Elephas maximus indicus: one gene and its partner. The protein of the gene in region 2 interacts with the protein of the main gene of each other region in a pairwise test. Links are inferred from orthologs where the notes say so. Each region holds a gene or a part of one and is shown on either strand. Other genes may lie near its edges.

What was found.
Region 1: the proteins of SQSTM1 (region 2) and CDC37 interact in binary tests that used the Homo sapiens proteins (3 or more experiments, as listed by UniProt). The link is inferred for Elephas maximus indicus from reciprocal best matches to the Homo sapiens genes SQSTM1 and CDC37.

The regions. Positions count from the first base shown.
Region 1 is NC_064821.1:28,498,604-28,508,190, forward strand, and holds the start of CDC37 (hsp90 co-chaperone Cdc37), read right to left. Parts: upstream 4,123-9,587; 5' UTR 4,021-4,122; coding exon 3,919-4,020; intron 1-3,918. UniProt on the Homo sapiens protein: Co-chaperone that binds to numerous kinases and promotes their interaction with the Hsp90 complex, resulting in stabilization and promotion of their activity. Inhibits HSP90AA1 ATPase activity.
Region 2 is NC_064820.1:202,020,847-202,030,513, forward strand, and holds the start of SQSTM1 (sequestosome-1), read left to right. Parts: upstream 1-5,467; 5' UTR 5,468-5,514; coding exon 5,515-5,719; intron 5,720-7,812; coding exon 7,813-7,908; intron 7,909-8,408; coding exon 8,409-8,638; intron 8,639-8,734; coding exon 8,735-8,876; intron 8,877-9,667. UniProt on the Homo sapiens protein: Molecular adapter required for selective macroautophagy (aggrephagy) by acting as a bridge between polyubiquitinated proteins and autophagosomes.

The DNA.
Region 1 (9,587 bases), on a different chromosome or scaffold from region 2:
CTCTCTCTCTCTCTCTGGGGACTATTCTGGGGCTCAAACAGGAAAAGGTACTTCAGGTGCTCAGCTTAACCTGCAGCCCAGAGCAAATGCTCAAGAACTGGGGTGGATGCTGCAACTTCACTGCTGTTGCACCCAGCACCGCCACTTACTGGCAACATGACTTTGGCCAAGTCGCTTAAAGCTCTCCCTGCCTTGGTCTTTCTCTCTGTGAAATGGGACCTCACAGGGTTGCTGTGAAGACTGCTGTAGTTGTTGTTAGGTGCCACTGAGTCGGTTCCAACTCATAGCGGCCCTATGTACAACAGAACGAAACACTGCCCAGTCCTGCACCAGCCTCACAATTGTTGCTATGTTTGAGTCCCCTGTTGCAGCCGCTGTGTCAGTCCATCTCATCGAGGGTCTTCCTCTTTTTCGCTGACCCTCTACTTTACCAAGCATGATGTTCTTCTCCAGGGACTGATCCCTCCCGATAACGTGTCCAAAGTCAGAGAGACGAAATGTGAGGACTAAACGAGTCAAAAAAAAAAATGCTTCCAACGCAGCAAGCATTCAGTAGATGTTAGCCACAGATCACCACTGTCATTGTCACCACCACCAGAACAGTCTGCTGACTCACTTCTGTGCCTTCTATGAGGCTGTATCCCCAGGTTTCTAGCACAGGGCCAGGCCAATGATGAGTGAGAACTGTGACACCAGGGCCCTACTCCAATGCCCAATTGAACTAACAGGGATAGCCCCAAGGCTTACTTTTCCGGCATGGATAATGGGTGAAGGCCCAGGCCTCATGGACAGGAGCCCTGGCCTCTGCCACCACCCATACTCCGCAACGCCCTGTGTCACCATGGAACCTTCCTGCTACCCGCAAGGGGCTCTCTGCAGCTGACATTACAGGTGGTCCCAGGCCTCGGCAGGAACCGACCACCCTGGTTTTCTCTGCTGGACGGCCTCCAAGCTCTTCCCAGCATCCTCTGAGAGGCCACCAGGGACGTGAAAGCTAAATAAAGGCCTCCTGGAGCTGTGGGGCCGGCAGCCTGCCCGGCCCTAGCTTTACACCTCATGTTACGAAGGGCCCATAGCAGGTTAGGCAGGCCAGGAGCCACGGCAGCTGGAATCACTGCCCTCTTGCCTTACAGATGGGGAAACCTAGGCCACCGAACCTCACTGCTGAACAGCTTACTAGATGGAGCCACAAAAAACCAGGAACAGTGGCTGTCTCTGGGCAAGGGAACTGGGGAGCTGGGCTAGGAAGCAAGACTCATTTGTCCTCTTATCCCTACTAGAAGCTTTGGAATTTTTCACCACGACCATGAATTACCTAAATATTAACAATGACAATAGCTAACGTTTATAGAAAGATTATGTACTAGATACTATCCACAAAACACTACAGACATTAAGTAGTATATTTCTCACAACACTACAAAATTGATATTATTAATATTCCCAGCTGGGGAAACTGAGACAGCTTGTCAGTGGTGCAGAAGGAGCTGGGCTAGTCAAAAGGCACCAGGCTACCTTTTAACTAAGCCTACCTCCTTTTCTGGAACACTGCCTCCCAGGCCCTGAGCCCGGTTGTTTTCAAACCTAATCTCTTTCATTCCGACAATTTCATAAAGACAGGGCCATATTATCCCTATTTCACAGGGACTCATGGATGGGGCCTATGAACCTCACTTCACACGGAGAGAGGTGGGAAACGGTGGGGCTGGGATCAGAATCCAAGCTTGCCTGTCCATGAACCTGGTGCTGGAAACACCCAGGCCACCGCCTCCACTACAGCCACAGGGCCTTTAAGAGAAGGAAAGGGGCGGGGCTCTCAGCGGCCAGACAGGAAAAGGCTGTGGGCCAGGGAGGAGGGTGTGGCTGGAAGAGGACACTGCAGGAAAGGGGGCATCGCCCAGACACCCTGCCCTTGGCACTTGGCACTGGGGAGCCGGGCATGGGGATGGGGACCAAATCACCTCTACACAGTAGTAAAGATTAACTCTTTTATAGACAGAAATAGGTATTCCCAAGAACATTCTTTAGAGCTTTGTGAAGGTCTTAAATATTTCATAACAAAATGTTACACACAGCAAGAAACAGAGGTGCTAGAACCTTCCTCCCATATACGAGTGGCTTGCCCAGCAGGTACATTACCCAGGAGACTGCTGTTTTAAGGAATGGGAGGCTCAAAGTTGAACTGGGGACCAGATACAGGAGCCAGTGTAGGGTCCCATAAGGATGGGGAAGTGCCCTTTGAGGATTTTCTGGATAAATGACTGGGAAGTGCCATATAGGAGGAGGTGGAGAACTCCTAGCCAGCATAAGCCCTCAGTTTGAGAGTATAACGGGCATAGGTGTGGGGGGTACAGGAGTTCTGATTTGGGGGAGCAGAGGATCAGACCATTAGATTTTATGAGAGTCATCCTATTGGCCCATGAGCACTACCAGTCAAGGACGGGGTGGCAGGTCACAGGTCACACAGACTTGGGATTCTGAGCTCTGGATCTGGGAGTTCTCTTGTGGGAGTCCCTGGGTGGTGCAAACAGTTAACGTGCTTGGCTGCTAACCCAAAGGTTGGAGGTTCCAGTCCACCCAGCGGCACCTCAGAAGAAAAGCCTGGCAATCTACTTCTGAAAAATCAGCCACTGAAAACCCTGTGGAGCACAGTTCTACTCTGACACACATGGGGTTGCCAAGAGTCGGAGTCAACTCGATCGATGGCAACTGGTACTTGTGTTGTGGGAAGACAGATAAAAGAAGGGGTAGTGAATTTAGAAATCAAATCAGTAGGGTCCCTGGGTGAGTGCAGGACCAATTTGGGCATCAGATAATGGCAGACCAGGCTGCGGGAAAGGGTAAGGCAGGGTGGGTGTTGGGTCCTGGGTTTGGGTTTAGCTGTGGGTTTCCAGTGCTGGCAGAGGTTCACACGGGAGGCCTGTCTTGGAGGTGGGTGATAATGGGGTCTGCAATATTAAACACAGGCAGGGGCTCTGGCTGGGCCGGAAGCCATGGAGACAGGTTTCCCAGTGTAATGGGAAATGAGATCTATAGTATGTGAGGCTGAAGGACAGTCAGAACTGGAAACTCCACAGGATGGAAGCTGGTGACTGAGTCTGGAGTTTCCAAAACCCTGGTCCTAGGCTGAACCGAGGAGTCCCTGGGTGGTGCAAGAAGTTAAGTGCTGGACTAGTAACCAAAAGATTGGCGGTTCAAACTCACTCAGAGGTGCCTTGGAAGTAAGGCCTGGCCATCTGCTTCCGGAAGGTTACAGCCTTGAAAACCCCACCGAGCAGTTCTACTGTGCACGCATGGGGTCGCCATAATTCGAAACAACAACAGGCAAGATGAGGACACTGGTGGATCGCAAATCTCACCTCTAGGGAAGGGGTCCCAGGTGCAGGTTGGGGTCCCAAGCCTAGGAACAGGAATCTGACTAGGAATTCCCATCAAGACCCCTGGAGGTGGATTCCAGACAGGATTAAAGTATTGGGGTTCCAGACCCTAGGATTGGGGGGCCTAGTGGAGTATCCCAGCTCAGAAGTGGGGATCCAAATAGGACCACAAATCACCTAGCTGAATTGAGGATCCAGGCTCTGAGGCAGGGTTCTGAGTGTAAATGGAAGATCGCGGACAGGACTGAGGATATACCCAACGCTTATCTTGGGAACCTAGACTGGGAAAATTGTTCTAGGGGTCAATAGGGAGTCCCACGCAGATCATCAAAGGGGTCTCGGGATCGCAGTAAGACGGACAGGGTCCTGGCGGTACTCAGGGTTCTGGAGTTGAATCGAGGGACCCCGGGAGATAATAAAAATCCGGAGTGTGAGGTGGGAGCACAGGTGTTAAAGGAGAGGTCCCTGGCCCGTACTTGGGGTCAGAATTCTGGAGCCGGGTCCGGGCGAGCGGGGAACCGGGCGGGCGCGTGCACTATACCTGGTGCCGCCAGCGGAAGAGGCTGGCTGTGTCGATGTTGGGGTGCGTCTCGTCTTCATCGTCAGATACTTCGATGTGGTCCCACACGCTGTAGTCCACCATCTTGCCTCAGCGGCCCAGCCCGCTCCGGCTCCCGCGGCGGCGGCGGCTGCAGCGGTGCTGAAGACACGGCCGCGGGGCCCCGCCCCTTCCGCTTCCGCCGGACACGCCCGCCCCCACTCGTGACGTCACATCCCTAGTAACCACGGCGGCGCCACTGGAGACCGAGCACGCCTTAAAGGGCACTGCGCACGTGTTCTGGCTGCGGGGAGTCTCCACTAAGACCCCGCCTCAGCGGGCCCGGGGGCTCCAATGGGCACCTCCTGAGGGCACACGGGAGGGCGCTCCAGCCACGATCTCCTTCATTTTTCGCCGCCCCACGGTGAGCGTTTGCAGCGGCCTCAAAGGGCAGTTGGCAAGAGTAAGGGCGGGGATTGTCCCCTTGGCCACGCCGCATGACGTCAACCTGAGCCCACTGCAGAGAAGGCCCGCCCCCTGCCTCTTGTGAGGGGACACTTAGCCCTGCGCTGGGAAGGGTGTGTGATCTAAGGGGACCTTTCCAATCTGAAGGCGACGTGGCACTGCCCTTAGGGGCTAGTATTTCCTCGGCTCAGACATCGGCCTCCACCTTCCAGGTCTCTTTCCCGCCCCCGTCTTCTGCCTCTCCTGAACGGGGACTCGAACACAGACACACGTCCCACTGGAATCACCCGGGCTCCTCCCCTCCCCCCCGCCTTCCTGGCGCCTGTCTCCACGCGCGGCCACTGAGTGTCGCTAATGTCTAGCCTGGGGCCAATGCTCCTGGCCCCGCGCCGGGCGGAGGAGCGTGGAGAGGCGGATGGGGGGCTTTCCTGGGCGCCGCTGTCTGGGGCCGCTCCTAGCTCCTTCCTTTTCGTCGGGGGCCCCTTCCTTGTCAAGGCTCCAAAGACTCCATTACTCTGAGCTTGGGGGACCCCGGCCGCAACCCACGCTTTGATACCAAGATAAAAGGCCTGGTTACAGCCCTGGGCCAGGATTATCAGATTAAAGGACGCTCGGCTGGGAGCGGATGGGAGGAGCTCTGGCACCCGAGCGAGGGGCACCACTTCCCAGACTCCCTCGAAGTCAGTGATTGGGGGACAGGAGAGAACGGAGGAAAGGTCTCCAGTTTGGGGGGGCAGGGAGTGCCCGGTCCGGGGGAGAGGGAGGGTCCAGACAGACAGACAAAAGCGCCCTCCCGCTGCCGACCTTCCTCCTAGCGGTCCATTCAAGCCCGCGAGTGGGCGGGCGGGGGCGGGGGAGTCCCCCCTCCCCCTCCAGCCCTGGCAGTCCAGCATCTCCGCGGCCGTCACCGCCCGGGGACGCGCGCGCACGTACCCACACACCGGCGGGATTCACAATCGCGCACACACATACACATTCCCTCCCCAGCCCCCCTGCAAGGTAAGCTTCGTGCTGCGAACTGCGGCGGGAAAGGGACCCAGTGCCGCGGACGGTGGGGGCCCGAACGGGGGGGTGTTTCCCCCGCCTCTCTGAAAACCCGGGCACCGCGTCTGCGCTCTGCGGGTTTCGGCCCAGCCGCCCGGCTCCGGGTGTGTGGGGAGGACCCCGGATGCAGGGGATTCCCCGGTAGGCACGGGGCGGGGGGTTCCTCCCCGGCTTTGGAACCTGAAGCTGCCGAGAAACAGAGTCTCAGGCGTCCCAGATCTCTAGAGCTGGCAACAGGGAATAGGCAGCTTCCCCATCAGCGCCAAATATTTCGTAGTCTCCTTCCAGCAAAGCATTTCCAGCCTTGGGGGCTGAGAGAGACAGACCCTTGAATTGCTTTACGCTGTCTTTTGGTCTTACCGCCGCATCAGTGCACCCCCTTGTGTCTCTTGTTTCTGCGGGGTGGGGTGGGAGCTGGGACTACTCCTCTCCGCTACCCCTGCTTCCTCTGCTGCATCCAACAGCCACACACCACTTAGCTGCGGCGGGAACCGAGCAAGTGGCTTTGCTTTCCTGAGCCTCAGTTTCCTCATCTGCGAAGTGGGTAACGACAGACTCATGGAAGTTATTAAGTCATGCATGCCAAGCCTCCCTTTGCTCCATCATTTATTTCTTGGCCTATTCCACACCTATTCCCCCAAGTGCCTACTGTACGCCAGGCCCTTTGGCAAAGGCGTGGGGCTGCAGTAATAAACAGCACCTAGGGGTCCCTGCTTTGCTGACTTTCCAGGCTGATGAGGGAGCAAGATCAGTGTGTAAACAGAGAAATACCCAAGGTGATTCCACACTGTGAAGACTAGAATTCCAGCAGGTGAGGAGAGGGACTGGGGGAGGGCGCACTCAAGATTAAATGAGATTTCTGGCTCATGTCTTCCTCATTCTCTTTGAGCTACAGGAGGGTAGGGCCAGGGCCAGAAGAGTGCCTGACACACAGTAGGTGCTCAATAAATGTTCAGCAAATTAAAGGGGAAATTAGGTTCATAGCATTTTAGATCAGGAAGGGAGCTTATCATGAAACAATCCAACCTCCACCCGGCCACCATTTTACAGATGAGACGATTGAGTCGCTGAGCCCCAGAGAAGGGGAAAGACATAGGCGACACAGCAGGGCAGATGGGGCATTGGTGGTTCAGTGGTAGAATTCTCACCTTCCGTGTGAGAGACTGGGTTCGATTCCCAGCCAATGCACCTCATGTGCAGCCATCACCCGTCTGTCAGTGGAGGCTTGTGTGTTGCTATGACGCTGAACAGGTTTCAGCGGAGGTGCTTCCGGACTAAGATGGACTAGGAAGAAAGGCCAGGCAATCTACTTCTGAAAATCAGCCAATGAAAACCCTATGGATCACAATGATCCAATCGGAAAGTGACCATGGTGATGGCACAGGACCAGGCAGTGTTTTGTCCTGTTGTGCATAGGGTCCCAATGAGTCAGGGCAGACTCAAAGACAGCTAGCAACAATAAATGAATGGTTGTGAACAGCTAGGACAGAAAGGGGTTAGAGAGCAGAATTGAGCACAGGGCACTCCTGGCTCCTGTGATACCCAGCCAGCGCCCACCACTCCCCCCACACCCACACAGACACAGCCCTGCCTTCTTTAATTCAACAAGTATTTATTGAGCACCTATTATATGCCAGGAGCCCTGGTAGTGTAGCGGGTAAGAGCTCGGCTGCTAACCAAAAGGTGGGCAGTTCAAATCCACCAACCACTCCTTGAAAACCATATGGGGGAGTTCTACTCTGTCCTATAGGGTCGCTCTGAGTCGGGACCGACTTGACACCACCTAAGAACAAAAACATTATATGCCAGGTGCTGGGGAACCAAACTCCCTGCCCATGGAGCTGACATTTAATAGAGGAAACAGAAAAGAAACAATATAAACAAATAAATACATAACAAATTGTTATTAGGACCGTGATGGAATAGGGGGCCTGTGACATTTCAAGTGGGATATCCAGGAAGATCTCTTGGAGGGATTAAATTACTCTTCAAACACAACCTCATGCACGCATGCAACCTGTGCACTCAAACCCAGACAAACCTAATGACACTAATACCATACACAGGTCCAAACCAACAGCCTAAGTAAGGGCCTGAGCAGGGATTTGAGCCCAGAACCTGCATTTCTGACCCCTGTGAAATGCTGCTTCCTGCTGTGTCCACATGCTTCTTTCCCTGCCACCCCCAGATGTCAACCTGTCATGTGTGCACGCTACACAACGCAATCTTAGAAAGTTCTGTCTGTCCAGGTATACACAAGTGGCCATGTCCAAAGCCGCACATGAGCACACGTGTCTGGGGCCCCTGATAGTCCTTCCCAGCCCTGCTCCAGCTCCAGGCATGGACCTTGGATAGTTACTGTCCCTCTACAGGCCTGAATGATCAGGGGATACTCAGGGACTTCATCCTCACTACTTTCTCTCTTGTGTGGCCACCCATCCCTGTCTCCTTCTGAGGGCTGTGGGGCTGCCAGGTGACAGGCCCAAGCTGCCCAGCGCTGTCTCCTCTGCCATCTGAACCCCCGCCCCAGCTGGCCTGCTGCCCGGGGAGGGAGGCAGGCTTAGAGGCGCCCCCCGCCTGGGGCATCAGGCCAGTTCACCCTGCCTCCCACTCACGGGCTTATATTGAGCTGATGTCTGCAGATGTCCATATGTGTCCAGTGGCGGCGGGGTGTGCGTCTCTGCTGCTGTCTCCGGCCTGTGAGCCTCCCCTGGACATCCACTCCTCCATGCCTTCCTTCATTCCACAAATCCTTGAGTGTCTACCACGTGCTGTTCCAGGCACTGGGGCAAACAGCCAGAACTGGCGACAGAATTTGCAGGGTCCGGGCAAGATGAAAATGTGGGGCTGGGGCCTGGGTGCCTGCACAGGTTGCACATCATGGAAACAAGAGCTGAGAAGAAAAATCGAGCTGAGGGGTGGGAGGGGTCTACCTCAGAGAAGGCCTCTGGAAGGAAGTGACTTTGAACAGAGACCTGAAGGAGGTGAGGGTACCACCTATTGCATGTCAGCAGTGTTCTAGGCCTTGGAACCCATCAGGGAACAAAACAGACCATCATCCCTGCTTTGTGTCCTAATCAAAGAAGAGACAATAACAATAATATGTTGCATATCTTGTTAGACTGTTATCCGTCTAAAACAAAACATGCAGTATGAAGGGGACCAGAGGAGTAGGAGAACACAGGATTTCTGAGGCTTGTTTCCCATCTGAAGGGAACAACAAGGGCAAAGGCCCTGAGGTGGGAATATGCTTGGAGTGTCTGAGGAACTAACTGTTAGGAGGCTAGTGGGGCTGGAGGAAAATGAGAGGCGGAGGGTGGGAAGAAGTAAGATTTCTGTTAATACGTTGCTATCTCTTGTGTCTGTCTATAGCTCCACATGAATCAAAAACAATAATAATTATTATTAGGATAGTAGCTACCATTTTGTGAGCACCTACTATGAGCCAGGCACTGTGCTCAGAACTTTACATGCATGGCTTCTTCATTGTCACAACAGCCCCATTGGGTAGATACTAATATCATCCCTATTTTACAGATGAGGAAACAGGCCCAGAGAGGCTGGGTGATTTGCCCAAGGTGACACTCGGTGCCTCTTTGTGTCTGCCTCATTCATTCCTTCATTTATTCATTCAGCATTTGTTGAGACTATGTGTGCTAGGTCCTGACCAGGGTGGAGAGGGACTTGACCTCAGAGAGTACCCAGTCTGCTGGGAAACACAGGCAATTACAACTCAGAGTGACAAGTGCTTTAATGGCAGAACAGGTGGCAGTGGGAGCCCAGAACATGGACTGGCTCACTTGGGGGCAAGAAATTGGAGGTGACCTTTAAGTTATCTTTTTATATTCATCCATTTGTTCAACAAGTGGCTGTCCAGGGTCCACTGAGTGCACAGCGTTAAGTCAGGAGATGATGTACACATTCACTTCTACTAGTTGATGTTGAACTGAAGTGCTAACCAGTGCAATAGAGCAAGAAAAAACAAAAAAGTAGGGGGCAAAGCACCTAGTCCATGGTAGGCCTGCTAGGAACTTTATAGATACCATGCTATTGAATCCTCACAATAATAACCAGACATTGAACAAATACTTATTGAGCATCTACTGTGTTCCAGGCACTGTTCTGGGCACTGGGGATACGGTAATGAATAAAATAAAATTGCC
Region 2 (9,667 bases):
GGGCCTTGTCTGCAGCCACCACACCCAGTGCTGGAAAGGTCAGGCTAATAATGGGGGAAATTAAGGATGCCCAGAAGGGCAGAGGGTACCCCAAGGGAGCAAGGTTAGCTGTACCATCCCAGGGAGAGAAGAGTGGCTTCAGCAAAGGCCACCAGATTGATCAGCATATGTAAATATCCTGTTGAGAGGCATTCAAAGGCTGGTGGAAGTGGAGCCAAAAATGGGAGAAGGGGCTGGAGCATATAGGGGCAGGGGTAGAGCACAGCTTAACAGGGGTTTCGGTCTTAACCATTAGAGCTGTGGGTAAGGTACAAAGTGGAAAGGCCCAAAACAGGAGTGGGCACAGAGGTGGGATTGACACGATTGTATTTGCTTTTGAAGTGCTTAGTTGGGAACAGTGTGGAGAAGAGAGGAAGCAGGGAGACCAGTGAGGGCCCCCCGCGGAGAGTGATGGTCTGGAAGGGGGCGTTGGAGATGAGAAGCCAGTGGGTTCCAGAAGGACTACCAGCCCTGAGCCTGACCTGCAGCAGCCCTCGCCATGTGACTCCAAACTCCGGGCCTTCTTGGGGAAGCGTGGGGGCACTCGCTCATTGCTCCATCCAGGACTGGCGCTCCCTGGAGAGTGCCACCCTGCCTCCCCTCCCGCCCCGATCCGGAACTGAGAGCTCCCGCACATTCCTCGCCTTGAGCCAATTTTCACGCAGACCTGGCAGGTCCAGCTCCTCCTCAGGTCTCTGGCCTCAGAATTGTCTCGGGGCGTCTGTGAAGCCGTTACTGCGGCTTCCCTCGCTACGCCACGGCTTTCCCCCACCCCTGGCAGCCCAGCAAGCCGAGGTTTCTAACCGTGGCTAGGCTAACGGTTTGAATTTGGCTCAGAAGTCCCGCGCATGCGCAAACTGAAACCTTTGCGCCGGGGCCCCCAGCTTGAACCCATGACCTGAACTTTGCTAGAAATGAAGGTGTTCTCAGGCACATAGCTGCACCTGAGCTCATTTGCAAAGCAAAAGTTCCCTTCCTTTGCAGCACCTGGATCTCCGGACATGGACTTGGGAGGGATGGGGTGTCAGATTTTGGGCGCCAATCCCGCCCCCTGGGGGCTAGAGGGCATAAAAGCTCCAAGCTGCCCTGGGACTGGGAGCCAGTAGTCTTTAAGCTGCTAGGCCCCTTGTTTGCGCAAACAATAAATTTCCACTTTGTTTCCCTTGCAGCTGGTGGTGTGTCTGTCTTATTTCCATTGGCTAGTAGGACAAGACAAAAACCCTCCCTCTTTTACAGTTGGCGTCACCGGGGGTTTCCTCATGATCCCCTCCCCCACACCTCTTGGCTCCTTTGTCTTTCCAGAACCTTCGCAGTAGGGCTAGCTCCCTGCTTTGGGGCCCCCAGCAGAGCCCACCCCAGGGTAGGTCTCTGGACACTGACAAGGAAGGGAGAAGCCGGATAGAGTGCGGAACCCTCCTCTGAGGCACCCCCTCCCCCCACAGCTACAGGGGCGACCCTACGACCAGGAAGGAGCATGTTTCACTTTGGGACCAGGAAGAAGCATGTTTCATTTTGGGACCAGCCTCAGGGGGCCTGTGGAAAGGCTGACCGTGACCTGACCACTTCTGCACAGAGCGAACTTGGCTGTGGGGAAACTGATCCACCAGCAGGCTCTCTCAGTCAGGCCTAGAGCACCGTTCATCGCCTGGCTCTGGAAGAGGTCCACATGAGGAGCAGGGTTCCATGGGCAGACGTGGCTCTCTGCAGGGTGGGGTCGCGGGCCGGCTCCAGCCCACCCCTTGGTGGCCCACAGGTTGTCTCTCCAGTGACCCCTTCTTGGCTTGAGCCTGGCCGTTTCCTTCCTGGACCACACTTTCTTTTGGGGCCGGGCGCCCAGGGCTGGGATCCCCGCTCGAGGGTCCCCAGGCACCGCCCGGTTGGACTTAGTGTCGGTGCAGTTCTTTGGTGCAGGGCTCTCTGATACGTATTTACAGACATGGCCCCGAGCTAGCCCCCGGCCCACCTCTGTTGATGAAACCCATCCCCATGGCCCCATGCCATTGCGCAGCAACGACTTTCCTCTAGTACCGGCGACCCCTAGACAAAATGGTCGCTCCAGCCCTCCAGTAGTCCGGCAGGAGGGCCCGGTGCCCCACAACACTTGGGGTCACTTAACTCTCCAGTCATGTCTCCTTGTGGTTTTAACTTATATTTCCCTGAGGACCAATGACTTGAGCCCTTTTTTCTTATAGAAAAGTCTTCCAAGCCCCTCCTGCCCCTCTTCCCCCTCTCCCTACCCACTACTCTCTTGGCTGGGCCTTGCAGAAACAGCTAAAATGAGGTGGTGTCCAATAGGTGAGAATTTTCCCCAGATGGAGTGGTCAGGGAAGGCCCCACTGAGGTGACATTTAGGATGGGAGGTTGCCATGCAGGCCAGGGAGGGAAGGGTTACAGGCAAAGGGAAGAGCCTGGAAAAAGTCACCAGGTAGAATGAGTTGGCATGTTGGGAACAGTGAGCAGAGGTGTGTCCCTCAGAGTCAATGAGAGGGACAGACAGGTCCAGGGCAGTGTGAGAACCAAGACACTTTAGTGAAGGAGGACTAGAGGCATTCCCACTCCTTGGACTCCTTCCCTGGACATAAAAACTCATCCCTTAGTCCTTATAGGGTTACTATGAGTTGGAATCTATTTGAAGGCAATGGGTTTGTTTGGTTATGGGGTTAGTCCTAGGGGTGGGGTTGGGTGGGACTCATTCCCTTGATCCTCAATTAATCTCCTTTAAGCACAGCCCAGAGCAGCTCAGCCTGGACCCCCTTGTGTCTAGTGGCCTAGCTCTGAGCCCTCACACCTAGGGAGGTTTGACTCCACACCTCAAAGAAAATTAACTGGACTGCAGAAAAACTCTGTCAAATCATTGTGATGGGATTATTTGGGGGGTGGGGCAGGGTGGGATTGAAGAGGTGATTACAGCACACCAGACAGTACTAAACAAAATCGGATGTCCTCCTGGCCCTCCCAGAACCTCTTAACTCAGGTCTCTTCTGTGTCTCCCACTCTTTAACCTTCTCAACTCCTTGTTCTCTCCCCAACCCCCCTCAGCTCACAAGGCCAAAAGCAGACAAAGAACAACTAGCACACCTGAGGGGCCTCACCTGGGTGGGGACATCACATCATCCCACTCGGGCCCCATTTCTAAGATGAGGAAACTGAGAAGCATTAGTCCAAAGGCGGTCTATTGCAGAAGTCTCCAACTCAGGGCCAAGCTTTTCCAGCTTGCTGAGTGCACATGCCCTGGAAAGTGGGAAGCGGGTCAGTGGACACAGGGGAGGTGTCTGGGGAAGGGGGCGGTGTCTCTGCCTCCCACGGAGGAGAAAGACAGAGAATGGCGGCTGTACAGGGAGGGCGTCTTGCTCCAGCCATCAACTAGGTGCCCTGCGGTCCCTCCCCCCACCCCCACCCCCCCACTCCCCCGCCTCTGCGCACTCTTCTTGCTGCGGGGTCCAGGTGGGACTCACGCAGACCCCCAGGGCCTCTCTCCACCCAGTCTCTCAGTAAGATGTCACTGAGAGGGGTCAGTGGTGGCCGGGGATCCGCAGTTCATGATGGCGATCATGGGACGCTGACTCACGGCAGGACCGCCTGACCACCGGGGGGTAGGCGGAAAGGGCCCTGCCAGGGGGTTCCCCAGCGCACAGTCTTGTTTACCTCTCAGCGGGCCTTGGGGGCGGGGAGGGCTGGGCCGTGCTCAACAGCAGAGCTTGCTGGGAAGGGCCGGACCCGGACTAGCCCGGGCAGGGGCCGGTAGCTGGGGGCTGGTGGCGGTCTTCAGGCCTGCTCCCCAGAGCCCATTTCTTGCCACCCCTTTCTCTCTGAGCTTCCCCACCCCTCCCTGCAAGCCCACCACGGTCCCAAACGGACATAAAAGTTAAGAAAGCAAAGGAGTTCCTAGAGGCAGCCAAAGAGTCCCACTACTTGTTTGGGCAAGGGCCGCGCCTTGGGCTGTTCCTGAAACCTGCGTTCCCCTAACCAGATGACTTCACTCTTCAGCCCACACTGTGCTCGGACCCGGACCCTGAAGCTCTGGGGGCGGGGTGGCCGGCCGAGCTGGGGCAGGAAGCGCGCTCTTCGCCCAACCGCCTGGGCTGCGTGTCTCCCATGGGGCGCTGCTGAGTCATACGCCCTCGCTCCTGCCAGCGGCCCCAGTTTTCTTCCCAGACCCTGACCCTTCCGGCAGGGCCGTGGGTCTCAGCGGCTGAGGGTCACCGCGGAGACGCGGGGGGGAGGGGTGGAGAGGGACTCTCCTGTCCACAGCGCTGCTCCGGGCAGGGGTGCGAGGAGCTGTCTGGAGCCCTCAGGGAAAGATCAGCCACACCTGTGGACAAGCCCCTGTGTGCTCCCACATGGAAGTCACTTTCGCATTTGACTATCCCCTAGCCCAACCAAACTTCCCTTGGTCTCTGGGTTTCCCAGCCCTCGCGCTTCCACAAAGCCAACCGTGAAAAAGCATGACAGGACCCCATCTGGGTGCAATATAGGGTGACATACCCTTCCTGCCCAACTCCTTCCAAGGTGTCTCCCCAGGCCTTTCAAACAGGTCTATTTGGTCACATAAAGCAGTGTTTCTAGGCTCATAGCTCTAGGGGAGTTGGTCTGACCCCCTGCCCATGAGGTCAACAAGCTGTGAACTCAGGGGCCCTTGGGCACCACCTGCTGAATTGAACCCTGTGCTGACAGGTGGGCATCTGGGGACTCAGCAGGAGTCTCTTGGGCTGCACTGAAGTGCCGGGTGTAGGGATATTCACCAACCCCTGTCCCCTGTGCTCTCCTAGCACCTCTCAACCTATCTCGCTCACCCATTAAGCTGGGGGCACAGCTGGTGGATGGGGGATAAATCGCCAGGGAGGACGCTGTGTGCTCCCCACCCCCCACCCCCGCCCCGGGAGAGGCTGATTGTCCCGAACGGCCTGGAGGCTACCAAGCTGGCAGGTAGCACCCTGTTCTACCACCCCGTTGTACCACCCCAGGGGGCCTGCTTGCTCTGGCCCGCAGTGCTCACTAGATTGCTTAGGCACCTCCTGGCGTCTAGCCTCTGTGCCCCCCCACCCCCTGCTCTAGGCATCCCTCGGCGGCCTGGGGACACTTTGCTGAGTCATGGCCAGGCCCAGGCCTGGGAGGGACCCCTTGCCTGCCTCTTGCCCCAGGAGTAGAGACCAGAGCCCAGCTTAGACGTCGGACTAACGGGGCGGGCTTCTTGGGGCCCCTGCTGTACTGGGGGCAGTGAGGAGACGGGCGGCAGTGAACGGGCCTCGGCAACCGTGAGGGGGGTGGTCACAGGAGACGTAGGGTGGCAGCGGGTGAGGGGCCCCCGCAGGGCGGCTTGCGCGCGCCGCGGTCTGGAGGTGGGAGCTAGGACTTCGCCGGGAGACCCCGCCCCCAGGTGGCCGGGTGGGGCGGGGCTTCCCGCATTTCCTATAAAGGCCGCGCGCCTGCGGCCAGCGTTGTACAGCTCCGTTCCAGCTCCTTCGTCAACGGGGTATGGCGTCGCTCACAGTCAAGGCCTACCTTCTAGGCAAGGAGGATGCGGCCCGCGAAATCCGCCGCTTCAGCTTCTGCTTCAGCCCCGAGGCGGAAGCCGAAGCCGAGGCCGCGACTGGGCCGGGGCCTTGCGAGCGGCTGCTGAGCCGGGTGGCCGCCCTGTTCCCGGCGCTGCGGCCTGGCGGCTTCCAGGCGCACTACCGCGGTGAGCAGGGCCGGGGGCGGTGGCAGTGACGCAGGCCGAGCGGCCTCTGTACGGCCTGCCCTGTGGGGCTTGGGTGGCTGCCTTTCCTTCCCGTCGATGCCTGATGGGGTGAGGGAGGGCTGCTCTGGCTTTTGGGTGAGCAGTGGCTCGCGGCGGGTCCACACTTCGGCCCCGGGTGCCAGTCTGGAAGTGCCAGGAGTAGGGACCAAGACTCGGTTCCGGCCCAGTTCCAGCTGTTAAGCGCTAGCCCTTTTGGGGCCAGGGGCTGCCACACTCTACGGGCGGATCTCAGGTCTGGGGGCGCCAGATTCCACCCCTCCCCCCGCCATGATGCTGCACAGCTTGGCAAGGACGCGCAGGCGTCCTTTCGGCTTTTCGGGGGCCGCGGGCACTAAGGTTACACTGACATCTTGCGGCTTTGGAGTCTGGGTCCTCTAGCGGGTTCAGATTTACCCCTACAGAGCCTGGGCGGAGCCGACCTGGAGGAAGGGGCGCCAGGGGCGGGGGAGGAATGACGTAGGTAAACAAGTGTGGGGTGCGGGGAACTATCCCGAGATAGTCTCTGCGAAGAGAGGTCGGGGCCAGATCACAGGACGCCCAAGGCCAGGCAGAGTACTGACTATCTAATAGTCTGGAGAGACGGACAAGATCAAAGGTTCTTCAGGAACATTGGTGTAGGGATGGAGGCTGGGAAGCCTTTGCGGGCCCAGGAGCTAGCTTGGGCTGTGCTTGTGTTACAGGTGACTCCTGGGGGTGGGGTTGAGGAAGTTGGTTGTGAAAGGGAGGGCGGAGCATCCAGGGCCAGCCTCTGGGAGGGGACAGTGCTGGGACCTCCCTCAGCAGTGCTGCCAGCCTGCCAGGTCCGCCCCTATCTTTTTTTGGGAATTTTTTTGAGATGTAATTCACATGTCATACGATTTACCCATTAAAAGTATATAACTCAATGGTTTTTAGCATATTCACAGGTTTGTGCAACGATCACCACAGTTTCAGAACATTTTCATCACCTTGAAACCCCATACCCTTTAGCTATCACCCCTACCCTAGCAGTCTGATTACCTCCAGCCCTAAACTACCAATAATCTACTTTCTGTCTCTATAGCTTTGCATGTTCTGGGCATTTCATATAAATGGAATCATGTGGTTTTTTGTGACTGGCTTCTTTCACTTAACATAGCGTTTTCAAGATGTATCCATGTTGTAGCATGATGTAATATTATGGTGGAATACTAGTCCATTGTATGGATATACCACATTGTGTTTTTCCATTCATCTGTTGATGGACACCTGTGTTGTTTCCACCTTTTGGCACCGCCCCTATTCCTGATGTTGTGATCTGGTGACCCACAGGCCCTATTCAGTCTGCAGATGGATGGTGTGATTTGTCCTGCATGGTGGTGGTTTAAAACCCTTTGAGCCAACATCTAAAAATGGGAGACTACATCCAAATATGGTATTTTAGCAGCACTTTGAACAGGTTCATTCAGGTTCCACCTGCTGAGACTTTGCATTTTGACCCTAGATATACTGAATCAGAATCTACATTTTAGCAAGATCCCCCAGGTGATTCTTACATATGCATTTTAATTCTTAAGTAGATTATTATTCAGTATATCTGGGGGGGTGGAAATGCAAATTCTCAGCAGGGGGTCGAACTGGAATGAATTGGTTCTAAGCCCCGGCTTATCTATTACTTTCCTAAACCTTAAGAAGCCCAAGGCCTTTGGAGGGCTGGGTCCCCCAGGAACTGGTCAAAGGCAGGATCTCCCACATTTGAGGATGGGCCTGGTTGGATATGGACCAGGGGCTCAAAAACAGAGCAGGGGGTGGCCAGCTATCACTGTTGTGGTGCCCTGCACACACACACCTGCCTCTGGCATGGATCCAGGGCCCCATGTTGAAGTCCTTACCTTCCTAACAACATCAGAGTGAATGGGCAATCTCACCTGTCATCCCTACCTCCCCCAGTTCACACAGGGGTTCCAGTTTATAGCCCTTGAAATGTCCCTTCAGCACTGGCCTCAGCTGGTTTGAGCAACTTGTATCCATCTGGAAGCCCCAGGTACTCATGTGCTGTCTTTTAAACCATCTAGATGAGGATGGGGACTTGGTTGCCTTTTCTAGTGATGAGGAGCTGACAATGGCAATGTCCTATGTGAAGGATGACATCTTCCGTATTTACATAAAAGGTAAGGGGCTACTCTGGGTGTGACCTGAAGCCAGGTGTTCCCTGCTGAGTAAATATAGGGCTTGAGGGCTAGGAATCTGAGGGCTAGACAGAGTCATAATAAATGCCAAGTTTGCCCTCAGAAAGGAGTCCATGTTCATCATGTACTGAGTGGGGTCTATAGGGTCTCTGAGTCCACTCTTGATGTGCCCAAACCAAGTGCCATGGGGCTGGAGGAAGCGTTGGGGGTACAGTACAAGCTTTATTTTAGTGAGGAGCAAAGCCAGAGTGTGCCAGCACAGCTCTCTGCTGCTCCTCAGCTGGCTGGGCTCTGCATGCCCGGTTTTCAGGTGCAGGGATTGGGACTCTCTCAGCAGGTTCTTGGGTTGCTTTGTTACTGTCACCTGAGCAACTGAATTCTGTGTGGAACTGGGTGTTTCATGAACAGCCCCACAGAGGTGATGGATGGGGGAGAACTTTGGAGGTGTCACCTCAGTGGCTCTCTCCACCCTTCCCCCACAGAGAAGAAGGAGTGCCGGCGAGACCACCGCCCGCCATGTGCTCAGGAGGTGCCCCGCAGCATGGTGCATCCCAATGTGATCTGTGATGGCTGCAATGGGCCTGTGGTGGGAACCCGCTATAAGTGCAGCGTCTGCCCGGACTACGACCTGTGTGCGGCCTGCGAGGGGAAGGGCTTGCACGGGGAGCACAGCAAGCTTGCGTTCCCCACCCCCTTCGGGCACCTCTCTGAGGTAAGCAGGGCCTCTGTGCGGCCTGGGGTGGGTTCTGGGGTGGCAGGAACCCCCTGGCCCTGCACTACCCTGTCCCTCTGCTTGCTCTTCCCACAGGGCTTCTCTCATAGCCGCTGGCTCCGGAAGCTGAAACATGGGCACTTTGGGTGGCCGGGCTGGGAAATGGGCCCACCGGGCAATTGGAGCCCACGTCCTCCTCGGGCAGGAGATGCCCGCCCTGGCCCCACAGCAGGATCAGGTGAGGCTCGCTTAGGCAGCCTGCCCTGTGTGTGCTTTTGAAGGCTAGCCGAGCTGGAGGACTGTCTTTATTCTCTGGTGCTGTTACTCAAGACTTCCATGTACACTGATGCCTGCTATGCCCATGGCTGGGCTGGGCAGTTTCACAGCCATCCATGTCATTTAATCCTCACAAGAGCCCTGCAAAGTGAGGACTATTAGCTCTGTTTCACAAGTGGGAAAGCTGAGGGGCAGCAGGGATCATCCAAGGCCACTAGTGTACCCAGCAATCAACCATTTCACCGTTTGGCCCATCTGGGTGCCCTGAGATCAGGCCTGTGGGCCATCCAGTCCCTGGAGCCTATAACAGACTCTGTTCTCTCATGTCAGCTTTCAGGAAACTGCGAGCCACGTCTGCTCGTATTAAAACACAGTCGCACGGTTAAAAATTTACACGTAGTTTGCAATCTACTGAGTTCTGATCTTCTTTTGATTTTATTAATCTTACTGTGTTTTTTGATTCATTGCATCCTTTGGGACAAAAGTTGGGGATATTTTTTGACTTTGAGTAAATAACATATCTCAGACATGGCCAATATTTACATACCACATATCCTGAGCCCTGCTGGGTTACCGAGCACCAGGACCGCAGACAAAGGAGGAGCAGGCTGGAGGATGAAGCGGTTTAGGATGTGGCCCCATGGGTGCAGGTAGCCAGGGGAGAGGGGAGAGGAGTGTCTGGACTGCCAGGATGAGGAGTCTACTAGGATGCAGAGGCCGACTCGGGCGATGGTGACCTTGGGAGGAAACTGA